4 linked regions of the Saccharomyces cerevisiae S288C genome follow. Changing the gene in region 2 together with the main gene of any one other region gives a genetic interaction. Each region holds a gene or a part of one and is shown on either strand. Other genes may lie near its edges.

Region 1 (4,115 bases), on a different chromosome or scaffold from region 2:
GAACTTAACCACTTCTAACCTCAACACGAAAAAGAAGAATAACAGAGGCAGACCAAGAGCTATTCAGAGACAACCCACGCTGACCACTTCCAGCCATTTCATCAATAATTCCAATCCTGGTGCTGCTGCAGTTTCAACGACAACTCCCGCCGCTAATAGCGATGAAAAGAATCCTAATGCAAAAAAAATCATCGAGTTTTGTTTCCATTGCGGGGAGACCGAGACTCCAGAATGGAGAAAGGGACCATATGGCACAAGAACTTTGTGTAATGCCTGTGGGTTATTTTATAGGAAAGTCACCAAGAAATTTGGCTCAAAAAGCAGTAATTTGTTGTTAAGATATAGAAGATCTATTGATTTAGCCAACGATCGTAGAATTCCTGATTTTATCACTATTCCAAACAGGTTTATTCATGATATGGATAATGATCAAACGTTGGACTCTGAGTATAATACGATATTGCAATAATATAAAATCATACATTCATATAATATCCATTACGTACGTACATCTTACATAACACATTTTTACCCCCTTTTCTTTTTTTTGTTTTCCTTTTTTGTTTTATTTAGCCGCCCGCGTTTTCCTAACGTTTTCCCAACATTGAAACCAATTCGTCATATACCTCACTTTCCATAAATTGTTTAGATTCACAGTGGGAATGACTTCAGAACACTTCAATTTACAACCAAATTTCACTAAATCGTTAAAACTACTGTGTTCAGAATATGGTACGTTAAAAACTTGAAATTTGTTGTACTTTTTGTATTGCCTCAATATACTCGAGATTTCAAACCCATTCTCATCATCATTATCTCGATCATTCTTCATTAGTTCTAAGCAATATTCTGTATTGCCACTCATTTCATTCTCATCATCATCGTTTTTCTTTTGATATTTTAAACCAAAATTGTGACTCCACCCGGTAGGTATAAACCCGACAACATCTTCAATGTCTTTCACATAGTCTGTTTCCAATTCTTTTAAACTTTTCAAGTAAGCTTCTATGGTTTCTTGACTTTTCAACACTCTTATAGGTACCAAATGTACGGATGATTCATGTAAATTGCTGGTGAGTAAGCTTTCGTCCCACATGTCATTTTGATTTTCGTTGTTTTGTAAAACTGTTAGCATCATTGAAAATTTAACGGAATTCGGCATAACAAATAATTTTGTTTTCAAAAATTCACATATCTTGATGGCTAGCTTCTCTTTTCCAATAGTATATGTTCCCACAAGAAATAGGACCCTGTAACGATGAGTTGTCAATGTTTTCTTTCTCTGAAAGTGAAAAAGGTTCCTTTGTGAATCTCCAAATGTTTTGTTTTTACCATGTTTTATAAGCCGTAATGTAAAATCAGCCACAGTCTCGCACACAGAATGTTGTGAAGGAAAGTTGTATCCCATAGTCATATATGTTGTATCTAAATAAACTTGGTCAATAGTTTCATTCGCTGTCTCGGCCAACCACTTCTGAATTGTCTCAATCATTTTGGCGTTGCTTCGAAAATCCCCCGTGTGAAGAATTTGTCTTATAGGCTTATCATACGAATTTGCCAGAAACTCCTGGAAAAGCATTATTATTGCACCGGGACAATGGTTAGCGTCCAACGTAACTACTGAAATGGTATCTGTTATCCAAAAGCGTTTATTCATGGGTAAAATTTGGATTTCATCCATTGGAATTTTGAATTTTAAATTTACTAATATTGCAGTGATCTTAGAACAGTAAAGTGTTTTCTTGATCGGATTCTCATCAGGATTGTTCCAAGATTTTTTGAGTCCAATATAGTGATCAGAATGAAAATGAGAAAGAAAGTACTGAGAGATAGTCTCGCTGGCCTTATAATTGAAACCATCCACAACTATTTCGTGGCCATTATTGAACTTAATTATCTTGAAACTTGGTAAAACAAGTTTTACTCTTGTTGGTTTTTTTGACGTAGCTATATCCCTCTTCGTTTTTGCAGGAGATGATGGATTAGAAATAAAGCTCCTGATATTCTTTTTAGGTGTTCCCATATTGCTCGGGTCACTGCCTATGCAAGTATCACAGTGTGTCTCTCTTTCGTACAATTCTAAATGAGAAAGGTTTTCTAGACAAATAGGACATTGAATAACTTCTGTAGAGACTTTAACATTTACTTGCTCCTCCAATTCCGTTACTATTCGATCTTCGGTCCTATTTTCTATTGCGCTGACTTCGTTATCATGCAAGCTAACTAGTTCTTCCTCGTCTGTGTCTATGGTGATTTCGACCTTTGCAGTGTCTTCAAGGCAAATGCTATTGTGATCGTCATCGTTAATAATTACTGGCTCTGTATTCTTATTGGATGTTGAACAACTGAACCTTGAGAATGAATATGAACTGGAACGGACAGGTAAGTTCGATGAAGTTGGGATGTTGAATTCTGTCAAAGTTCTCTGCCTTTTAGAGGATGTATGTGTGTTCTTATGAAGAGTTTTCCCCTCACTTGTACTGCTAGCGGTGCTACTTCGTTTCCGCTTTACTTCAGATCTTCTTATTTGCACTATAGATTTCCTTGACATAATCAACCGACCACCCAAATTAGTCACTAGTGCGTATGCTGCTTAACATGAGTTTTGACGCAGGTATTTGATTATGTTTATATTGCTATTTTACTAGTACTTTTTCAGTCCGTTTCCATGACAAAATCTAAAAAGCCATCGCACTAATTTATAAAGATAATAAGAGGGAAGCTTAAGGTGTAGAAGAATACATGGGACTACTAAGTATTATCAGGAAACAGAAGCTCAGGGACAAAGAAATTCGCTGTCTGATTCTAGGACTAGACAATTCGGGGAAGTCAACGATAGTAAACAAACTATTGCCCAAGGATGAGCAAAATAACGATGGTATAATGCCTACTGTGGGTTTTCAAATACATAGTCTGATGATAAAAGATGTGACAATATCTCTATGGGACATTGGGGGGCAACGCACATTAAGGCCATTTTGGGATAACTATTTTGATAAGACACAAGCGATGATATGGTGTATAGATGTGAGCCTTTCAATGCGGTTTGACGAAACCTTGCAAGAACTAAAAGAATTAATCAATAGAGACGAAAATCGAATAGGATACGAGTGTGCTGTTATCGTTGTGTTGAACAAGATTGATTTAGTGGAGGACAAGTCCGAGCTTCATCGAAGGTGTTTACTGGTAGAGAGCGAGTTGAAGTGTCTGTTCAAGCCGGACATCCGAATAGAGCTCGTCAAATGTAGTGGCGTTACCGGAGAAGGTATTGATAACCTGCGTGACCGTCTGGTGGAATCCTGCCATTTTACCCAATAATCGTCTAAGATGTGAGCACCATATAAAAACTTTAAATAATGTCAGTATTTATAGCGTGATAGTTCATTACCCGCCGACTGTGCGCATTCGTGGCTTCTGCTCACTCCGGATAATAATACTACCAAGGGGTTCTGTAAGGCTTGCGGGTTACAAAGCACGGGTCCATTGAAGATCTTACACAAGAAGGAGTGGTAGGAAGACCAGCAGATTATTTCCAATCGGTCGTTGCCATTGTCTTATTTCCTTTTCTTTCTGGCGCATTGCATTTTAACACCTTTTTTTCCAGAATAGCCAACCACCGACGTCTGATTCACACATTACTGGGCAAGATCTTGACATAGCATTACATTACAACACGGCAACACTAATCACGCAACGCTAGAACTCGCGCAGGATGAATATTCAAAGCAATAATTCTCCGAATCTCAGTAATAACATAGTGTCAAAACAGGTTTACTACGCCCATCCTCCACCTACGATAGACCCGAATGATCCGGTGCAGATATCTTTCCCTACCACCGAAGTAGTTGGGCATGGTTCGTTTGGTGTGGTATTTGCCACTGTTATTCAAGAAACTAATGAAAAAGTTGCTATTAAGAAAGTCCTGCAAGATAAACGATTCAAGAACAGAGAGCTGGAAATAATGAAAATGCTGAGTCACATAAATATAATAGATCTGAAGTACTTTTTCTATGAAAGGGACTCCCAAGATGAGATTTATTTAAATTTGATACTAGAATACATGCCACAATCTTTGTACCAGAGGTTACGTCATTTCGTCCATCAACGTACGCCGA
Region 2 (4,503 bases):
ATCGACTGTGTATATTTCATATTTTCGCGATTCTTCACGGTGAGCCAACCATGGAAACTTTACCACTTTCATGTTATCAGAGACCTTTGGTTACTGGCAATTTTATTATGCTTCGTTGGTAAGCCTTAATTATTTTATGAATGTTCGCCAATATTATATGTTTCTGCCACCTAAACCAGTAACTTCGTTTTATTTTTGTTGCGATGCGAGATGATTGATTTTGAATATTCTTACGATTACAGTAGCAGTCAACCTGAAAAAGGCAAAAGAAAAATAACGACTTACAGAGGATAACAGTACAAGGGTTCATTTTCATCTGTAAAACATTTTAAAAATGTGCTTTCAGTTTGTGGGGCAAGCTAAAGATAACTGTTCTCAGAAAGAGTGTTCATATTATACTATTTATTTCCTTTCCATTACAAATTGATGTACGTAATTTTTTTTTGCTTACAAATCATTAAGAAGGATACAAAAGCTTGCACCTTATTACTACGATGTCTTTACTGCATTATTTCTCCCTTCAAAGATAACAAATCACCGCAAGTTCTTATAACAAGTTCCTTTTTGAAAATTGTTTTGGAATGTTTTCGAGCAGGATCGAGTAAGTGCGTCAACTCGATTAAGATATTTTCTTCCCGGTTCAAAGCGCCGCTGACTACGGCTTTTTTGGCCATTTTTAGCAGGCTGCTACTTAGGTGATATAACCATAATAGGTTTGTTCTTGGTTCAAATGTAGCCCAGGATATTGGCTGAGGCAGCATGCTTCTCATCAGTTCATATATCTCGAATTGAAGAGTCCCCCGGCCTTGGAAGAAATAATGATGGTCTAATCTTGTATAGGAAGCCTTATTGTTGTCTATATTCAAGAAACGACAGCACTTCATATCAATTAAAGTAACATTCCCTTTAGAGTCTATCAAAATATGGTCCAAAGTTAGATTCCTGTGTTCGAGCTGAAATTTGGATTCAGCAACATATAAAATACTGCTGCACTGCCAGAAAATAGACAATGCTTGAGAGTAATCAATGTTAGAGCACCTTGATAGAGGAGTTCCCTGGTATTTGAAAAATAAGTACAGTATCAAGTTTTGGTCATTTTCACATTGATTTGAGGGCACAACATAAGCTTGCAGTAAATTGGCGACACCGCTAGTTCCTTGTATTAACCGTAATGATTTCAATTCATGTAAGGATATCAAGTTTGAAGTAGTCAAATCACTTAGAGCCCCTAGACATACTTTCTTGCAAATGAGTGAAGTTTGCATATCGCTATGATAAGTTTGCCAAAAGTTATGAGACAGCTGAACCGATCTAGTATTCAACGTAAACAAGCCTAATGACTGAGCTTCACGTAGATCATGTAATATATACTTAACATCACAAAGTTGTAATATTTGTTGCAAAATTGAATCATTGTAGTCCAAAGTGTTTATGGGAGTGACTTCTGAAGATAAGGATGCCAATGATGTTGAATTTTTCAATTTCAGTTGAATCTTGTCCTTTGAGACTTGGTCTGGAACAGGCAATGATATTTGGCAAGTTTTTTTGATCGGATGATTCAGTTCTTGTGTATTTCCTTTACGCCTTACTTTGAGCTTATTTAGTGAAGAATGTGATGTTTTATGCTTCAAACTTCTAAAGGAAAGGTTCGATGATGAATGTTTGTGGTTTAGCTCCTTCGTGCTCTGATGATCGGGCATAATAAATCCAGAATTCCTCTTCTTCTCTGTGTGTTTGCCACCACCAAAAATAGAATTGTGAAAACTTGAAATTGAAGACTTCTTTTGTAACGAATTGGTTGGTTTTGGCTGAACAAAGTTCGGATCTTGGTCATTCACAGATCTGGAAGATAGCGACCTCGACAATAGGTTATCATTTTTCCAGAACTTCCACTTTGAAGAAGAGGTGGTAGAAGTAAAGGAATTAACTGAGTTCACACTGGATGAATGAACATGAGAACTTGTCTTCTCGTCACCCCAGCATTTGAAATCACTACCGCTCCGAAACTTAAGTGATCTAAAATCTTTAACAGGCTCATCCCTTGATAAAGTCGATTGGTTTGAAATAGGTCTCAAGGGTGTACGAAACTTGGAGTTAGTCACCTTTGTAAGACCTTGCTTCGACAACCTTTTAGATGGAGAGAGCAGCTTGTTTTCCGATAGCACCGACTGAGATACATTTTCTTTGTTTGAAGAGTGAGCGGTATCATTAATATTAATTTTATTGAAGAGTTGTTTGAGCGATGAACCTGTAGAAGATCTTTTACCATAGTAATCATCGTTTTCGATGGTTTTACCTACAGGCCTTGTTTTGGATGTTGGAGAATCTGAAGAAGTAAAAAAGGATTGACTCTCATCTTCTGCTGAACCCTTGTGCGAAGTGATTTTGTAAACTTTTCTTCCTACATCCACTGCGGGGCTTCCCATGGATGAAGAATTTAATGAGCTGTCGGCATCATCGCTTTCTGCTACTTCGAGAGCAAAATACCTTCTGTCAGTCATCTGTTGATCTGCTACCGCATCAAAATTCATTTTCTCAATACAAATAGCGCATGTATGTGTGTTTGGTGAAATGATTTTACTACAACTAAATATATTAATACCAATACGCTTTAAGTTATTGTTTACTATTTTCGCTTTTCGAGAAGAGAAGATGTTACAAAAAGTTTCGCGAATTGCTATCAAAACTGAAAAAAAAAAAAAACGTTAGGCGTATCACAAACGAGAATTTAAGGTGTAGCAAGATAGAAAAAGGCACCTCTTTCAAAGCAAGCAAATGAGCGATAGAGATCAGATAGAACCTGTCACAAATGCATTAGATGCAGAAAGTGATTCTAGTGATGATTTTGGGAATTTTTCAGATGCCTCAGTTGAAAATGACCTCTATAACCAGAATTCTACTTTAACGACGTCTTCCGAATCTGTAGTAGATAACTGCTTGAATAAGATACTACCAAAGGGAGAATTTGACCTGGAAGAAGAAACCATAAAGAATGACTGTTTCAAGCTGAGCAAACTTATTGAAGATGAACGACCCCATGTCATTTATGAACAACTCGTACAATTAGATCCTGTGTTACAGCCATTCATATGGAATAAATCTCATATACGCAGAAACTTGCTCCACATTTTGAGATTATCGGATAATAATGGCTCTGAGGGTGTTGGTACGAAGAGGGAGGAAGAACCGTTGAATGATGAGTTGTTCAAAAGGATATGCGATGCAGTGGAGAAAAATGAGCAAACGGCTACTGGTCTCTTCCTGAGGGATAATTTCAAAATTGACTATACACCACCAATGACTTTAAAATCTCTTCAAAAGGAAGAGGAGCGTGAGCAAGAGCAGCATATACCGCAATTGCTTATGGCAGATTTTACTAGTATGGATGAAGAATCTTTACGCCAATACCACGATACATTGTGTCAATCCATTGACTTTTTGGTTAGTAAATCAAGATCATTGAAGAAACAACAGCGAGACCTCCTAAAGGATAAGACAACTTTTGAAAATGTAGTGACGAATTTGACAGGACATACCCAAAGACTACAGCGAGACGAAATTGCATTGTATAACAAAAAGCGAAACAAAAAGAAAAGGTTCAGTTGGGTAGGATACTAATCGCCGTCTCGGCAAAGCAGGTTGAACGTTGAAGTTTGAAGAGAATAAAATGTTATTAGTAGCATAGGGGACCAGACCAAAAGTCGTAAAAGAGCAATATACTTTTTTATAAAACATACAATTATACAATTAGTCCCCCCCTCAAGAAATAAAAAGCCCCTGTGCGAGGGATATACATAAACATTGAGCATTAATATTTACAACTCCCAATGAGCAATAATGGGTTTATTACATAAATAGAACGGCGAAAGATTTAGTTTCTAGTATCTTCACCGTCAGTAAATGGCATCTACGCATCTCCTTCTTTCCCTTCTTCTTCTTCTTCCTCTTCTTCTTCTTCCTCTTCTTCTTCCTCTTCCTCTTCCCTGGCAGTATTTTCACCAATTCTCTTGTTTAAGACGGCCTGTGCGATTTTACTTGCTAATCCATTTTTTTCCTCCAAGATTTCGTTTTCTACCTCAAATTCGGAGGAAGAAGAAGGTGCAACGGATGTCGAAGCTAAGGAAGACTCTGACTTACGATGAAAAGTAGAAGAGAATAATGGAATGTTAGAGAGGGAATTGTCACTATTGACCAATGAGACGCCATCGGAATCTTGGTTATGGTGTTCATAGGCATCGTGGTTGTCACGTTGGCTGATGATAGGTGATGACGAATCTTTTTCTTGTCTTTTTATTTTCTGTTTTCTTAGCATTTTCCTGCGATTCAATTCTGAGGTTTTTCGATCTTCTTCCTCTTCATCGATGACGTCGAATTCTTCACGTAGGGCGGCACTATCGAAATCGGGGAATAATTCGCTTCCAAAGTTATTTACAACTTCGATTATTCTTTCTGCCAGATTTCTACGATCCTTTTGTAGCTTTTGCAAGCCCTTTGGAGATGTAA
Region 3 (4,171 bases), on a different chromosome or scaffold from region 2:
TTGATCAACAAATTGGATTCAATGGATATCCCACTAGCTATTTCATTAAAGGTTAAGAACGAATTGTTAAATGTTATTGTTAACTATTTTACGGAGTCAATTCTAAAGTTGAACAAATTTAATCAAAACGGTTTAAATCAGTTTTTACATGATTTTAAATCTTTAAGCAGCATTTTGAGCTTACCGTCACATGCTACCAATTATAAATGTATGAGTTTACACGAACTAGTAAAAATATTAAAGCTAAAGTATGATCCAAACAATCAGCAGTTTTTAAACCCAGAATACATTAAAACAGGTAATTTCACATCATTGAAAGAAGCTTATTCCATTAAGTACTTGAAGGACACGAAGATTCAAGATGCACTCTATAGGATTATATATGGTAACATATTATAGCTCGTAAAAAAAAGAGAAGGAAAAAAATCAACAAGACGAGTATTATTCCAAATGTAACTCCAGACCATTCTATAAACCGTAAATAAATATATAAAGCTCTATCATTGTACCAAATCACTATTCATTTCTTCAAACCGAAGGACCTCATCATTCGGATCTTCCGAGGCATTTCTCCTGTCGATTACGGCGCTAAATCCTCTTTTAGCTAACGCCTCGACTATTTCACCAACAGTTGATATCATTCCCGTAGGACCTTCGTCAAAGACTCCGTTTGTTTCAACCTTATTCAACCATCCATATTCTTGAGGAATGTTTTCAGCTTTCCTATACTTTTTCTTTCCTTCGGTTACGCTCTGAATAGGTTCAACAACTTGTGTGGAATTGATATCGTCATTTTCATCGTTATCGTCATCGTCATCACCATTGAAGTGGACATCTATCAGATGATCGATAACGGGCCAACCGTATGCGTTGGCAAACTTTCTTCGGACTATAATGTTGTTGTGAGCGTCAGGTTTTAAAGCAACGACAACCTTTCTCCATGCCATTCCTTCATGCCACCTTCGAGCAATCGTTTCTTCCAAATTTCGATACTTCGCACGTTCTTTCTTTCCTGCAAAAAAAGCCTGAAGGAGTATATTCTTTTTACCAAAAAAACCGTCTTCGATATCAAATTCGGATTGTGGAATGTCATCCTCATTGTATATCTTATCATGAATAATTACAGGATCTCTTGAATCTGGATCCATTATGTACGCTCTTTCAGGTAAAGGAGGAAGGAGAATTGAGCTTGCTGACTCGAAAAATGATACTTTAGGAATTTCGGAACCATTCTCCGTAGGAAACTTTTGTGGCGCCAGTATACTCAACATTTTAGTCAGAGGCGAAATGAAAGTTTTATTGAAGAAATCTTGATTCACAGGTGTTGAAGCATCATTTATTAGCGGTGATTTTTTGCTGTTCTCCTTTAGTTTCTGTAATTGCTCCAAGATATCATTATAGTCTAGGAACAATAGCGATGCGGTATACAATGGGACAATTCCGTCATTAATAGCGTTCGCATATACTGTCCTCCTTTTGAACCTACGCAAAATCTCTATCAAGGGCAGACCAGATAGCAAGTAGAGAAGCGGTTTGCCTACTTCAACATCATTTTCCAAACCCAAGTCTTGACCTGTTTTTCCAATAACCCCGAATGAAAGTAGTACTTTAATATAGGCGGGATTATCTGTGACTATACCTAAAAGCGGTGAAGCTAAAGTAATAAAATTTATTGGATTCACCTTTTTAAAAAACCAAGGGTAGACTTCATAAATGTACGCTATTGCGAAAGCCTGGATTAGGCCACCCAATGAATGACCTACAAAAGAAATCTTGCGGATGGATTCATCGTACAAATCCTGGATAATATATTCGGCCAAACGAGTACCTAAATACTTAACTCCCTTCTCAGTTTGACAGACATTTCCCCTATAACCTTTCACAACAATTTGTTCGTGGGGATAATTCTTTTGTGCTTTGTATATCTGTTCCATAATATACACTAGATCGGTCGACACATTAGAATGTAAACCATGTGTCAAAACTACAAGATGTTTCTTTTTCTGTGGTGTGGTAATCTGAACGGGAAGATTCCACAAATCCAAGGTAGTTAACCTGTTCACTGTAAGTTTAGGGCTATAAGAACCTAGATGAGATGGCAGATCATGCGGATTTTCTACTGACTCTTTACTAGTTCCAATAGTGACTTCGTAAGTGACGTTCGTATTTGTAGTGAACAATATTTGACTCATCACATCAGCAATCCATACGTATTTCTGTCGTATGTTATGTACTGAAAGTTCAGCCACGAAATCTTGTTGAGTTTGCACATTCGGTTCAAATTTGGGGTAATCAACTGAAGCAACTATTTTTTGGGAATGATGATATTGGGCAGTTTTTACATCGCAATAAAGCATGAATGGACCCATTAGGTACGCAGCTCTATACGATAACGGATTCATATTTCTCACCTTTAACCACAAGGAATTTAAATTCAAATCTGGTGGAATTTCCTCACCGTCATAAAGATGATAAGTAATTACATATCTCTCAAGTTCACCAACCTTCACTGAAGACTTGTAATGAAACAATATTTCATTAGTTGGTGTCAGAGACATCTTGAGCAAAACACGGTTCGTACTTCACTCTCTTTGTGTACTATTCTTACTGAACTGTTGAGGCGGTACAATTTATTTCACAGAGTTTTGCATATTTCGGGCATCTACTATGTGCGTCAGTTCTTACGTGGCGCAGAACAATAGAAAAGAAGATTTACAGAAGTGATAGATACGATATGATATTTACAAGAAACGAAAAGTTACGTTCGTCAGTTACTCTCCAATAATTCTTTTGCCCGTTCGGTGCTATCATATTTAGACATTGCCTCAATAACTTCGTCCAATCGTTCTCCAGATAACACACCTGGCAGGTCCAACAATGTGAACCCGCACCTATGATCAGTGATTCTGTTCTGTGGAAAATTGTATGTTCTAATTTTATCAGACCTATTGGTGCTAGAAACCTGACTCTTTCTTGCTTTTCTTTCTTTTTCCTCCTTTTCCAGCCTTTCCTTCTCTGCAAGTCTCGCTCTTAAGATCGTAAATGCTTTAGCCTTATTCTTGTGTTGAGATCTTTCATCTTGCATGGAAACAACAATTCCAGAGGGGATATGGGTTAATCTGACAGCAGAGTCTGTCGTATTCACATGTTGACCACCTTTCCCGCTTGCACGCATGATGTCAACTCTGATTTCACCAGGTTTAAATGTTCTTTCATAAGCGTCAATAGATTTAGCAGATTCGTCACCAATTTGAGGTAACACAACCACGGCAGCAGTGGATGTGTGCGTCCTTCCTTTAGTCTCCGTACTAGGAATTCTCTGCACCCTGTGAACGCCTGCTTCAAACCTCAAACGATCGTAAGATCCGGCTTCTTCAATGCTCAGAATGGCATCGATAATGCCTGACCCACTTTCGTTTTCATTTTTCGATATAATTCGATACTTCCATTTTCTATAGTTGGCATAGCCAATATACATATCCAATAGATTCTGGGTAAAAATCATGGCTTCAATGCCACCTACACCCGGTCGAAGCTCTAGTAAGCTAGGTTTATCTGCGAACGGATGCGGTGGAAGAAGTTTATTTACCAATCTTGAGGAGGTCGTTTCATATTGGGGGACCAGTTCTGCATATTCTTGTTCAGCCTCCGCCCTTAATGATGGATCAGATACAATCATTTCTTGTAAACTTTTCAATTCATTTAGTTTTTCCTTATACTCAATAAATGTATCAGTGAGCGCTGATAATTTAGCATAATGTTTCTGCTTATTCACGTCAAAATGAATGCCGCAAGAAAGGTCTTTGTCAAGATCTTTTAGTTCAGCTTCATACTTTTCCGCTTGCTTAACAAGTAACGGAGAGAGTTCTGTGTATTGTGTTGGGATGCTGCCGTTGCTCTTAGAGTTAGTCGTTGTTGATGTCAGTCGCACTAGTAACGGCAACTTGTGACCCAAAAAAACACCCTTAAAGATGGACCTCGAGGGGAACTGGAACTTTGAAAGCCACATGCTTGCACCAATGAAATATATTGTTCTGCTCTACGAACTTTTCATTCCTGAGATATTATAAAACATATGATACGCACTATTAACGCTCTGTATTTATCCTCCGAGCGAGCAAATCCTCCTAACAAGTATATGAAATACACAATTACTCAGCCTAGTACAGAT
Region 4 (4,651 bases), on a different chromosome or scaffold from region 2:
CCTCTTCAATGTAAATAAATCCTTAAAGATTTTGCTTCACTCCATATCCGTAACCGTTCTTGCTGACATGGTTTTCATACACATAATGTTATTATAAGGGATGCTTCTAGGTCAAAGGGCAACCCGGCTTAGTTATCTTGAAAGTTATTATTTTAGTTTTCTAATTTTGCAGCTGTTTTCAATGAAGAAAACATTGCGCTTACAGATATGTACAGAAGGGATCTTCTTAACCATCAATTTCAATAAGTTAGAACAATATATGTACGAATATAGATATAAATACGAACGTGGTTAGTATATAGAGACAATGGAGCATGTAGATTCCGATTTTGCACCTATAAGGAGATCGAAAAAGGTTGTTGACAGTGACAAGATTGTGAAAGCAATAAGCGATGATTTGGAGCAAAAAAATTTTACTGTACTGAGAAAGTTGAACCTTGTTCCAATTAAAAAAAGTGTTAGCAGCCCAAAGGTGTGTAAGCCGAGTCCAGTTAAGGAGCGAGTGGACCATGTTTTCTACCAGAAGTTCAAATCAATGGCCTTGCAAGAGCTAGGCACCAATTATTTGTCAATAAGCTACGTTCCGAGCTTAAGTAAGTTTCTTTCAAAAAATCTTAGGAGTATGAAAAATTGTATCGTTTTCTTCGACAAAGTTGAACATATACACCAATATGCTGGTATCGACCGTGCAGTTTCAGAAACACTGTCTTTAGTCGATATAAATGTCGTAATTATAGAAATGAATGACTACTTAATGAAAGAGGGTATTCAATCAAGCAAATCAAAAGAATGTATCGAGTCAATGGGGCAGGCTTCATATAGCGGACAACTAGATTTCGAAGCTAGTGAAAAACCTTCAAATCACACGTCTGACCTAATGATGATGGTTATGAGGAAAATAAATAATGACGAAAGTATCGATCATATTGTCTACTTCAAATTCGAACAATTAGATAAATTATCTACTTCAACTATAATAGAACCTTCGAAGCTTACCGAATTTATCAATGTTTTATCGGTACTTGAAAAAAGTAATAACATTGCATTTAAGGTCCTCATTTATTCAAATAACGTTAGCATTTCGTCTCTCCTATCGACATCCCTCAAAAAGAAACTCAACACAAAATATACTGTGTTTGAGATGCCGATATTAACATGCGCTCAAGAACAAGAATATTTGAAAAAAATGATAAAGTTTACCTTTGATTCCGGAAGCAAGTTATTACAGTCTTACAACTCGCTTGTCACATGCCAGTTGAATAATAAAGAATCCAACTTAGCAATCTTTTTCGAATTTTTGAAGGTCTTTCCGCACCCTTTTACCTATTTGTTTAACGCTTACACTGAGATTATAGTCCAGAGTAGAACTTTTGATGAATTGTTGGATAAGATCAGAAACAGACTGACAATAAAAAATTACCCACATAGTGCTTATAACTTTAAGAAAAACCAGCGTCTTCCACTTAAGTTAACTCGAAAAGTACATGATAGATAAATTACCAAGGTCTTTTGAAAGAGTTCGAACAATACAAAGAGATGGCAACTCCTTTGGAAAAGTTCAAGTTGAACCACCTCCGTTGTCTCTATTAATGAAGAAGCCATGAAGTATGCGAAGTTTTAACTGAATCATCTTCAATAATTATGGGATGTCTGGGTTTTAAACGTTTCATAATATTCAATTTTGAAACAATGATCCCAATACTGCTTTTTTTTTGACTAGGACTTGGATTTGGTTGCTGGTGCGTTAGAATTGTTGTCTGTCCTGTTATATTTATACCGGTGAATGAAATCATAATCCCAGCTCTGTCTTTACTTCTCATCGTCCTTTAACTTTGGAGGTGTTACTGTCGTACGTTCCTTCTAGGTTTTGCACGCACTATCTGAGGCGTTATAGGTTCAATTTGGTAATTAAAGATAGAGTTGTAAGATGGTGGATAAAAATAGGACGTTGCATGAATTATCTTCCAAAAATTTCAGCAGAACGCCGAATGGACTGATCTTTACCAATGATTTAAAGACAGTATATTCCATTTTTCTAATTTGTTTGGATTTGAAAGAGAAAAAACATAGTAGTGACACTAAGTCTTTCTTATTAACTGCATTCACTAAACATTTCCACTTCACTTTTACATATCAGGAAGCTATTAAAGCAATGGGACAATTGGAACTAAAAGTGGATATGAACACAACTTGTATTAACGTTTCATATAATATTAAACCTAGTTTGGCGCGCCACCTTCTTACATTATTTATGTCTTCTAAGCTACTACATACACCGCAGGACAGAACTCGTGGCGAGCCAAAAGAGAAAGTTCTTTTCCAACCAACACCTAAGGGAGTTGCTGTTTTACAAAAGTATGTTAGAGATATTGGGTTGAAAACAATGCCTGATATTCTTTTGTCATCGTTTAACTCCATGAAACTTTTCACTTTTGAGAGAAGCTCTGTCACGGATTCAATCATCCATAGTGATTATTTGATCCATATTCTTTTCATTAAAATGATGGGCGCTAAGCCAAATGTTTGGTCTCCAACAAACGCAGATGACCCATTACCTTGCCTATCTTCGTTGTTGGAATACACTAATAATGATGATACATTTACTTTTGAGAAATCTAAGCCAGAACAAGGATGGCAAGCTCAGATTGGAAACATCGATATAAATGACTTAGAAAGGGTATCGCCATTAGCTCATCGATTCTTTACAAATCCAGATTCTGAGTCGCACACGCAATACTACGTTTCGAATGCAGGTATTAGGTTGTTTGAAAATAAGACGTTTGGCACTTCCAAAAAAATCGTGATTAAGTACACCTTTACAACAAAGGCTATATGGCAGTGGATAATGGACTGTACTGATATTATGCATGTTAAAGAAGCGGTCTCGTTGGCAGCGTTATTTTTAAAAACGGGGTTGATTGTACCAGTTCTTTTACAACCATCACGCACTGACAAGAAAAAGTTTCAAATTAGCAGGTCCTCTTTTTTTACCTTGTCCAAGCGTGGTTGGGATTTGGTTTCTTGGACAGGTTGTAAGAGCAATAATATTAGAGCACCAAATGGTAGCACCATAGACCTAGATTTCACATTAAGGGGTCATATGACTGTTCGTGATGAAAAAAAGACATTGGATGATAGTGAAGGTTTTTCTCAAGACATGCTTATCTCTTCGAGTAATTTAAATAAACTGGACTATGTGCTAACTGATCCAGGTATGAGATATTTATTCAGGCGCCATTTAGAAAAGGAACTTTGTGTAGAAAATTTGGATGTCTTCATTGAGATTAAGAGGTTTTTGAAGAAAATGACAATTCTGAAAAAATTGATAGATTCTAAGCATTGTGATAAAAAATCTAATACCAGTACTTCAAAAAACAATATCGTAAAAACGATTGATTCAGCTTTAATGAAACAGGCCAATGAGTGCCTTGAAATGGCATATCACATTTATTCGTCCTATATCATGATAGGATCACCATATCAATTAAATATCCATCATAACTTGCGTCAGAATATTTCTGACATCATGTTGCACCCTCATTCTCCATTATCGGAACACTTTCCTACTAATCTATACGATCCATCACCTGCATCCGCGGAATCAGCAGCTTCATCAATTAGCTCAACGGAGGCTGACACGTTAGGTGAACCACCTGAAGTGAGTCTAAAACCTTCAAAAAATCTTTCAAATGAAAACTGTTCATTTAAGAAGCAAGGATTCAAACATCAGTTAAAGGAATATAAACCTGCCCCGTTAACTCTGGCAGAAACGCATTCGCCTAATGCATCAGTAGAAAATTCACATACAATTGTTCGTTATGGCATGGACAACACCCAAAATGATACCAAATCGGTTGAATCATTTCCAGCAACTTTGAAGGTCCTCAGGAAATTATATCCCCTCTTCGAGATCGTTAGCAATGAAATGTATAGACTGATGAATAACGATTCCTTTCAAAAATTTACCCAGTCAGACGTATACAAAGATGCTAGCGCTTTAATAGAAATCCAAGAAAAGTGCTAATTTCATTGAGAGTCTTACTCATCTTCAGGTACAATTGCACAAACAGTCCTTTTTTTTTTCTTTAGTTCTCCTAACCTAATATGTCTTGATACCCATAAGGACTGTAAATACTATTACGTATAAATTAAGCGGAGGTGTGATTTGTTATATCAACTATAATATGATTAAATAAAGCCATTTATTATCTAGTATAATTTCCAATCCTGAGATGTGACTAACGTGAGCGCTTACGAATCTTCGCATCATACACCTGTGGCCAAGGCTGGTTGGCGGTTTAAGTCCGTCTGAAAACTTTTTTTTACGTCATTTGAAGATCAAAAGTATTGAACATATACCTAATGACACAGTTTTTTACACTTTTTTTGAGTTAAATTATTCAAGGACAAAAAATAGTGTGCGTAAATGGAAGAAATATAAACGTATATAGAAAATCATTTACCTCTCCTGTAGCACCGCAGTCATTACATAACATTTTTTCGAGGGTAAGTAAACATTACGCAAAAAAAGAAAAGGACTTTAAACCTTGGGATTGAACGCAAATTCATTCATTAAAATATCAACATCCCTCCAAACCATATCAGATTCCCAGTTATCCCAACCTGCCATGATGGAATTGGGTGATTCTTT

The links.
Region 1: mutations in ALK2 (region 2) and PSO2 together harm fitness more than expected from each alone (negative genetic interaction), as found in Saccharomyces cerevisiae (2 studies listed by BioGRID).
Region 3: mutations in ALK2 (region 2) and ROG1 together harm fitness more than expected from each alone (negative genetic interaction), as found in Saccharomyces cerevisiae (2 studies listed by BioGRID).
Region 4: mutations in ALK2 (region 2) and SST2 together harm fitness more than expected from each alone (negative genetic interaction), as found in Saccharomyces cerevisiae (2 studies listed by BioGRID).

What each region holds. Positions count from the first base shown.
Region 1 is NC_001145.3:542,413-546,527, forward strand, and holds PSO2 (DNA cross-link repair protein PSO2), read right to left. Parts: upstream 2,552-4,115; coding exon 566-2,551; downstream 1-565. Other genes in the region: GAT2 (Gat2p), read left to right, coding at 1-469; Arf family GTPase CIN4, read left to right, coding at 2,743-3,318; serine/threonine protein kinase RIM11, read left to right, coding at 3,713-4,115. UniProt on the Saccharomyces cerevisiae protein: Required for DNA interstrand cross-link repair. This requires cleavage of cross-linked DNA to generate DNA double strand breaks (DSBs).
Region 2 is NC_001134.8:205,222-209,724, reverse strand, and holds ALK2 (protein kinase ALK2), read right to left. Parts: upstream 2,532-4,503; coding exon 501-2,531; downstream 1-500. Other genes in the region: HIR1 (Hir1p), read right to left, coding at 1-72; YBL008W-A (uncharacterized protein), read right to left, coding at 77-316; LAA2 (Laa2p), read left to right, coding at 2,776-3,618; bifunctional glycerol-3-phosphate/glycerone-phosphate O-acyltransferase SCT1, read right to left, coding at 3,908-4,503. UniProt on the Saccharomyces cerevisiae protein: Serine/threonine haspin-like protein kinase involved in cell cycle regulation.
Region 3 is NC_001139.9:231,950-236,120, forward strand, and holds ROG1 (putative lipase ROG1), read right to left. Parts: upstream 2,559-4,171; coding exon 501-2,558; downstream 1-500. Other genes in the region: TIP20 (Tip20p), read left to right, coding at 1-399; MRF1 (Mrf1p), read right to left, coding at 2,768-4,009.
Region 4 is NC_001144.5:1,038,643-1,043,293, reverse strand, and holds SST2 (GTPase-activating protein SST2), read left to right. Parts: upstream 1-1,927; coding exon 1,928-4,024; downstream 4,025-4,651. Other genes in the region: RIF2 (Rif2p), read left to right, coding at 308-1,495; leucine-responsive transcriptional regulator LEU3, read right to left, coding at 4,541-4,651. UniProt on the Saccharomyces cerevisiae protein: Desensitization to alpha-factor pheromone. Is involved in regulating the signaling pathway for responding to mating pheromone.